Linked DNA regions of Cricetulus griseus. The protein of the gene in region 2 purifies or fractionates together with the protein of the main gene of each other region. This does not show direct contact. Links are inferred from orthologs where the notes say so. Each region holds a gene or a part of one and is shown on either strand. Other genes may lie near its edges. The genes, in order: Ppp1cc and Ubxn2b.

Region 1 (3,915 bases), on a different chromosome or scaffold from region 2:
AGAAAAAACTCAGGAACAGAGTAGGCACTCTGTAAATATTTGTCTCCTTAGGGAACCGTCTTATATCCCTGTCCCCAAAGTGTCATTGGGAAGATACACTCTGCCCCAGAGGAGCCCAAGTCCCAGAAACTCCTTGAGAGCCAAACAAGATATTCACAGCAGGGCTTGGCATAGGCCCCAGACGTCAAGATGTCTACTGAGCCAGGTGCCTTGGAGTGACAAATGACACTTGTGGGACTGGTAGGCAAAAACATAGCTTGGGAGAGTAAGTTGGTGACTGAGTAAAATGGTGCAGGCAGTTGAGGGGAGCTGGGATGACTCCAGAAGCTCCACCGTTGGCGCCAGCAGCAGAAAGGAGGCCAGAGATCTGCAAGGGTGCACCCCATGCCATGCTGCTGTGGCCTGGTGAAAATGAATCTCCAGATGGGGAAGCCACCTTGCTAGGAACACACGGAAGGGAATCCGTGCATCCCTTTTGCTTTGAGAATCATGAGCTTTTGGAGTGGGGGGTGGGGAAGAGGATTTTTGTAAACTGTGAAGGGCTGCTTGGAGAGAGAAATGGGTCAGGTGGGTGTGCATTTTCAGATCCAGTTAGCCTGAGAGGCAGCACAGTTGGGGGCTCCCTGGAGAAGGGTGCCCTCGGGGAGGCGATGAAACCAGAGGCAAGCAGCAGTAGAATGTGCTGAAGCCCGGGGCGCACAGCAGCCTCTAACTCGCTTTCCTCCGCAAATTCCCATCTTATCTGCTGCCGTGCGCTCATTCAATCCAGCTCAGGCTAAATCCAGGGGAGAACATCACGGTTATTATATAACTTTCTGAGTTCAAGAAAGATAATCTAAAGATAGGTGACACCTTACAAAAGTCTCCCAACCTCTCCCTAAAATGTAAAACTGCAGAAGTGCACGCAAGAGGTACACAGTTACTGAATTATGCACTACTCACAATGGACTAACGTTTCTTTTATCTGGGGGAGGCTTTCTTTTTTTCAAATACTGGATCTTAGATACTTTATTGCAGTATTACGAAATCTTGGCAGTGCTGGGGATTGAACCCAGGGTCTCACACATACTAGACAAGCGTTCATACCACAGAGTCATACATACAGCTCTTCTTGCTCACCAATATGAGCCGGCATATTTGAATCCTCGACCCTCCAACTTCCTTCTCCTAAAGATCCTCCATGGACATCTCCAACCCAGATTGGTTCCGAGGGGTGGGTGACTGACTCCCTGGTGAGCTCCCACCCCGCCGAGTCTGCAGACATCTGCCCCAAATCAGCAGCACCGGGAGGAGATCTTAACTCTAGCAACGAGCAGCCGCCGGACAATACCCGTCTTTAACTCGCGCGCGCGCCAACTTTGCAACTTCACTCTCCCGCGGGGGGTGGGGTGGGGGTGGGGGTGGGGGCGGGGGGGTGGAGGGTGGGGGTGGGGGTCTATTCCCCGCCCCACCCTCCACTCCCGTCCCCCACCCCCACCCCCCGCCCGTTTGGCGGAAGGATCCCGCGCGCGGATGGGTGTCTCACCGTCTCTGCCAGGCCCCGCCCCTGAAGCGCGAAGGCCGCCCCCTCCCGCAGCGGCCCCGCCCTCCCGCGCCCTATGGGCCTGAAGTCCCGGCCGCCGCTGCACTCCCCGCGCGCGCATCCGTGCGCCGCCCGAGGCTGGCCTGACGAGTCGGCGGCCATTTTGTTCTTCTCGTGGTTCCAGTGGCGAGAGGAGGAGGAAGCCGGGAGCGGGGCGGCTGGGGGGGGGACCCGCCGCGGCTGCTGCTGCCACCGCCGCCGCCACCACCGCTCGTGGGGCTCGTGGCGTGAGGAAGGAGGACGTGTGAGGCCCGGGCGCGAGCCGGCGGCGGCGCCGCTGCGGGAGGGTCGGCGGCAGGACGGCGATGGCGGATATCGATAAACTCAACATCGACAGCATCATCCAACGGCTGCTGGAAGGTGAGCGGCGCGCGGGCGGGCGGGCGGGCGGGGCCGGTGGGACCAGGCCCGGTGGGGACCGGTCCTCGGAAGCCGCTTGGATCTGGGGCGCGCACACAGCGCCTCCGGGTCTAGGGACAGACCCCTTGTTTTTATTACTGCCTCTCCTGCCCTTGCTCTCACATTGTGATAAATCTGGAGTCCAAGGACCCAGTGTGACTTGGCGGGGCGACGTCCCGGGGCGACGAGAGCCCCGTCCCTTGCATCCCCCCCCCCCAAAAAAAAGCCATCCTCCCTCCGGCGCTCTTTCCCCTTGAACGTGCATCCGCACACGGGCCGAGCCGCGACCGGGGTGACAGTGTCTGTGGCTCTCTGCTCATCAGATTGTTGTCCCGAGGAGAGGGGCGCGCTGCTGCATTCAGCGAGCGCCCTGCCAGGTAGGTGCTGTTATCTTGGAAGAAACTTAAAAGACCTCGCCTGACCAAGGGCGAGTCCCGCTTCAAACCCCTGGTAGCCAAGGTCTAGACACGACCTGCCTGCCCTCTTCCACTGTTCACCCTGTGGGAGCGCAGGGCATGCGTGCCTAGTGGCTAAGGGAAGGTTAAAAATCTTTTCTTTTGTCCGACTTATGACGGGGTGGGTGGGGGGCGCTGCAGTGGGTTCCTAGTTGGTGAGAGATTAATATGACATAGGGACTCCCCACAATTCCCGACCTAATGCTGATTGGGTTCTTGACAATGTTATTAACTAGCTGGCTTTTGCTGCTTTTGCCTAAAATACTGTTGGCGTGTAAGAAACATGCCGTGAGTGGTGGTGGTGAACAGCTGCAGAGTCATTGAAAGAAAAGTAAAAAGTGTCTTTTTAATCTGTGCATTTTCTCCCCTAATACTTTATTTTATTGCTTTGTTTAGATCGGGTCTTTTTTGTTTTTGGCTTTGTTGAGACAGGGTCTCTGCAGTCCTGGCTGTCCTGGAGCTCGATGTGTGTAGATCAGGCTAGCCTCAAACTCTCAGATCCCTCTGCCTCCCCTTCCTGAGTGCTGGGGATTAAAGGCTTTTATCATCATTTCCCCTAGATAAAGTCCCACAGAGCCAGAACTGGCCTTGAACTCCTGATCCTTGTGCCTCCTCCCAAGTACTAGAAGTTATAAGCCACCAAGCCTGGGTTATGAAGTCCTGAGGATTGAACCCAAGGCTTCTTCCTACACGCTGAGTAAGCATTCCATCACCTGGGCTGCATCCCCAGCTCAGATTTCGTTGTGTTTTTTTTTTTTTTTTTTTTTTATGTTTAACACTATGCTGAAAAAGTTTTAGCAGTAAACTTGGCTCATCTTTTGTTTTTAAATTTATTTTTCACATGGGATGTGTGTGAGTGCACCCAGGCCACAGCACCCGGGATTAGAGGACAATTGGGTGTGTGTAGTTTGTTCTTATCTTTGTGTAGGCTTGCTTCATCAGCTTTCCTTTCTCCCCCTTTAAAAATTTTTGTTTTTAGATTTTATGTTTTAAGCTTTGTCTTCATATGTATGTGTTTACCACATGCATGCCTATAACCAAGGAGGTTAGAAAGGGGCATTGGGTCCTCTGGGGCTGGAGTTAGATGGTTGTGAGCCACTATCTGTGCTGGGAGCGTAGCCAGGGTTATCCCCAAGAGCAGCAAGTGCTCTTGGCTGCTGAACCATCACCTCAGCCCCCCCTTCTTTTTTCTTTTTTTTTTATGGGGGGAACAGGTTTGAAGACAGCTTTTTTCTACATAGATCAGGCTGGCCTTGAACTCAGCTCTGGGATTAAAGGTGTGTGCCACCATTGATGGGCCCCTATAGTTTCTTGAATGTTACTTTTTAAATTTTGAGACTGAGTGTCACTACCAAGCAAAGGCTAACCTGAGATTTACAGAGATCTGCCTGCCTCTGCCTCCTATAAGTGTTGGAATTGGAGACTTTACCACCATGTCCAGGCTGGTTTTTTATTTTCTTTTGAACTTAATAGAGTAGG
Region 2 (3,815 bases):
GGTCCTTTAACTCATGCTTTAACAACTAATGTGAGAGACTGTATTCATAGTGTCAACTATTAATTCAGAAAGGCGGAAAGCAGTATCAACTAGAAATGAAGGCTTAAACATTTTGGTGATTGTACCTACATCTTGCAGCTGATTTTCTCCATAGATATACTCTGACCGCTTACAGAAAGAACTGCCCAATCTGTATCCTCCACCTGTAAATGACTGAAATACATGATAAATGGGTTAAGAGTTCACTATGGCTTATGGTCAAAATGTTATTCATACACTTGACATTTCAAAACTAGACAAATAATTATTGGCCAGATTCATACTGACTAGGAAAATAGATTGGAATAAAGACCTTAAGTTATAAACAAGTGTATGTGAGAAGTTAAATGTCTTTTCACATAAACATTAGTAACTCAGAATGTGAAATAACTTAGTTTGATCCCAAAAGCCACATGGTAGAAGAAGAGAACAAACTCATGCAAGTTGTCCTCTAACTGCCACATGTGGGTTGTGGATATATGTGTACATGAATACACATATGAAATAAATGTTAAAACAAAGAATTCTATATGTATTTTATAGGCTTTAGATTTTTTTAATGTTTTTAATTGAAATAGAAATTATATCACTTTCCCTATCCAGCCCCTCCCACACACCCACTCTCAAGTTGGCAGCCTCTTTTTCATTATTGTTATATACACACATGTATGTAAATACATATCTCATAATGAATGTTTTTTTGGTGCTGTAGTTCTTAGGGGTTCAGTGACCACATATAATTTCCCCCCTTCCATGTTAACATGTCCATTGAAACTTCCAGTCTTGTTTATGCAGCCATTTCCAGGAGACTGTTACACAGCTGACTTCCTGGTGTTCTGGCTCTTACAGCTCTTCCGCCCCCTCTTCCGAGATATTCCCTGAGCCATAGATGCAGGAGCTGTGATGCAGACGTATCTGTTGAGGCTGGGCTTCCCCATGACCTGTTGATCTCTGCACTATGTCAAACTGTGGCTTCCTGTGATGGCCTCCATTTCAAGCTGTTTTCTAAGGTACAGTAAGTCAGCTCTCAGCACAATGATATTAACTATATCAAGTCAGCTATAGTCAGTCACACTTTTGATCTTGCTCTACTGAATACACAGTCTTCAGGTAGGACAATATGAGGGGAAATAGCTATTCATTTCATTACCATTTGCATCACAAATGCACTTTAAATTACAACCTGCCTTTGTTCCACAGACTAAATCAGTTCCACACTTTTCTTACAGAATTGGGGAACATGGAAATGTTAAAATGACCTCAAGGCTACATGGACGGAAGTTTTCTAGCTGCTGCCAAATACTGAAACTGAAGTTTCGTGGAGAACAGTCATTCTCAACAATGGGTGCCAAAAAGATTGCAAAGGCTTTACCAAGACACATGTCCAAGTACCTCTCAACTTCCCAGAAACAGTACAGTTTTAAGACAGCACTGACCTTAGGTTTGTCATCACTTGAAGATCTTGTGGCTTCGTTTAGAGGGACGGCCCCATGTTCCCTTGCCTCTTTGAAAAGTTCATTCACAATTTTCCCAGTTGGAGGTTGAACTATATGTAATCCACCATATTCCTGTTCACCTGAACAAAGCCTTTAAACATCACAGCTCATAAATAAAAACTCAGAAAAGTCATAAACTACTCTAAGAAGCTACATCATCATATGAAGTAACTTTTATTCATAAATAAAGAATGCCTGAGTTCTTTATACACACTTAACTTTAAAATGGAATTCAGGCAAAGATAAAATAGGGGATAGTTTGTATCCCTTCTGAGTTTGTGGAGAGTCTGACAACTTCAGCACCCAACATGGGCAAATGAAGGCCTTGTTTCCGCCCTCAGCCCTGGATGACTGCTTATGGCTTCCTATTTTCACAGACCAAGCTCTTCACCTGTGGTGGGTAGCACTCTCAACAACCAGAGGCTATTCCTGCCCCATATGGCTACACAATGAAGGTTTATTCTTCGGGTAGAAAGACCTACTGCATAACAATTCCCACTGTGAATAACTTCATGTACTCCTTGTGTAGTAATTAAGATCTGCCCTGACTCTATCTTCATAATGGCTACAAAACATAAGTTTCCATTCACCTAAGACTAATATTCTAATTGTTCATGACTGATTTTCCTGCCCAGGATATCAGAAAATTTAATCAATGAAGTAGCATACAGAGACTTCCAATATATGGTGACAAGAGTGTACTTTTTATTTTCCCACACCTTTTACTCCATTTCCCGATTCACAGTAACTCACAAAGCAAAATTGGAAACACAACAGCCCTGGACAAGGAACAGAGGTTCCCTTCCAGGTTTTCTCCTAAGCGGGCAGTTCTCATCTGCAGGTGAAAGAGAATCTCCATGGACACAAGTGTGGACCTCAGCAGAATCCCACTACACTGTGGGAGGGGCACCACCCTGTCAGTGTCACTGGACACACTACAACCCACAAAGGCTTCTTGCCATGTTTACACTGCATACTGGGAGAGAGAGAGAGAGAGAGAGAGAGAGAGAGAGAGAGAGAGAGAGAGAGAGAGAGAGAGAGAGAGAGAGAGAGAGAGGTGTGTGTGTGTGTGTGTGTGTGTGTGTGTGAGTGTGCAGCAAACAGGAAAGAAATGCCCTGCCTGTCTAAGTGCAGTGTTGGAGAGGAGGAACTGGCTAACACATGGCCTCAGGTAACTGTGACAAAGAGGATAGCAGAGCAAAGCTTCCTGCCATGTTTGCCCCCAGTATAGCCTCTTCCCTCTTTGAGTCAGGTTAACAAGCTGGCAAAGTTCACAATCCTGCCTCTTTGTTTTTGGGACAAAGACCTGAGAAAACTGGACATAAGAAAAAGTTTACCAGTCTGTTATAGCCTCCCCTAAGGTAATGCAGCATTTCTTCAAGCAGCCTCACTGTTTGAACTTTTATATTCAGAGCTACAATCTATCCAAAATTGATAATTGTATGTTGCATGATGGAGAGGCCAATACTAACATCTTCCCTTGGACTATGCCATGAGATTCCCTCTCCCTGTTGCTCTGCAGTGGCATCGTTGTCAGAGCCAAAACAGCCATCTCTAAGGGTGTGAGACTCAGCGTTCCGGTCTTGGTTCACTGGTCAGTTTCTCAGGCCTCTGCAGCTTTGGTATAAGGTTTCACATGACTACTTTACGTGCTGCTCTTGATGGGTGCTTCATGAGTTCTCTAGCTGTTTTTTGTGGAGACAGGCCAAGAGCATCTACAACTGCTGCAGTAACATTTCCCACTTCCGTTTTCTCACTTCACAATGAACTTTGTCTTTTCATGACTTTCCCAAAGGCAACAACACTATTCGTCCCTCTGTGCAGTGGGGTTCCAACCATGCCTTGGTTTTTACTAAGTTTCCTTTCTTCCCTTTTCCACAACAAGATGTCAGTGTCCTTGCCTTCTGTTCTCCTCTTATGTGAAACTCATCTGATCAGTAAAATATTTATCCACTCCCATTGCAACCTCAAAAATGACTCGAAGGTATGACTTCACCTCCCTTTAAAAGCTTCTTTTCTTCCATTCTCTCACCATGCAACTCAAGCACACATCAAACTTACGGGTTTTCCTGTCTTAGTCATGCATGTGCTGGTATTATAAGCATACACCATCATGCCTAGCTCTTTCTTACTTTGTTTGACTTGTTGGTTGGGGCAGGAGTGAGATGGTCTCATGTATATGAGGCTGGCCTTGAACTGAACTAGGTGACACTGACCTTCAGCTTCTGATGGTCCTGCATTTACCTTCCCAATGTTGGGAATATAGATATGTGACACCAT

The links.
Region 1: the proteins of Ubxn2b (region 2) and Ppp1cc purify together in Homo sapiens (affinity purification with mass spectrometry; 3 studies listed by BioGRID and IntAct, with this or other methods). This does not show direct contact. The link is inferred for Cricetulus griseus from reciprocal best matches to the Homo sapiens genes UBXN2B and PPP1CC.

What each region holds. Positions count from the first base shown.
Region 1 is NC_048597.1:102,007,682-102,011,596, forward strand, and holds the start of Ppp1cc (serine/threonine-protein phosphatase PP1-gamma catalytic subunit), read left to right. Parts: upstream 1-1,665; 5' UTR 1,666-1,887; coding exon 1,888-1,942; intron 1,943-3,915. UniProt on the Homo sapiens protein: Protein phosphatase that associates with over 200 regulatory proteins to form highly specific holoenzymes which dephosphorylate hundreds of biological targets.
Region 2 is NC_048595.1:154,297,212-154,301,026, forward strand, and holds part of Ubxn2b (UBX domain-containing protein 2B), read right to left. Parts: intron 1,627-3,815; coding exon 1,476-1,626; intron 214-1,475; coding exon 130-213; intron 1-129. UniProt on the Homo sapiens protein: Adapter protein required for Golgi and endoplasmic reticulum biogenesis. Involved in Golgi and endoplasmic reticulum maintenance during interphase and in their reassembly at the end of mitosis.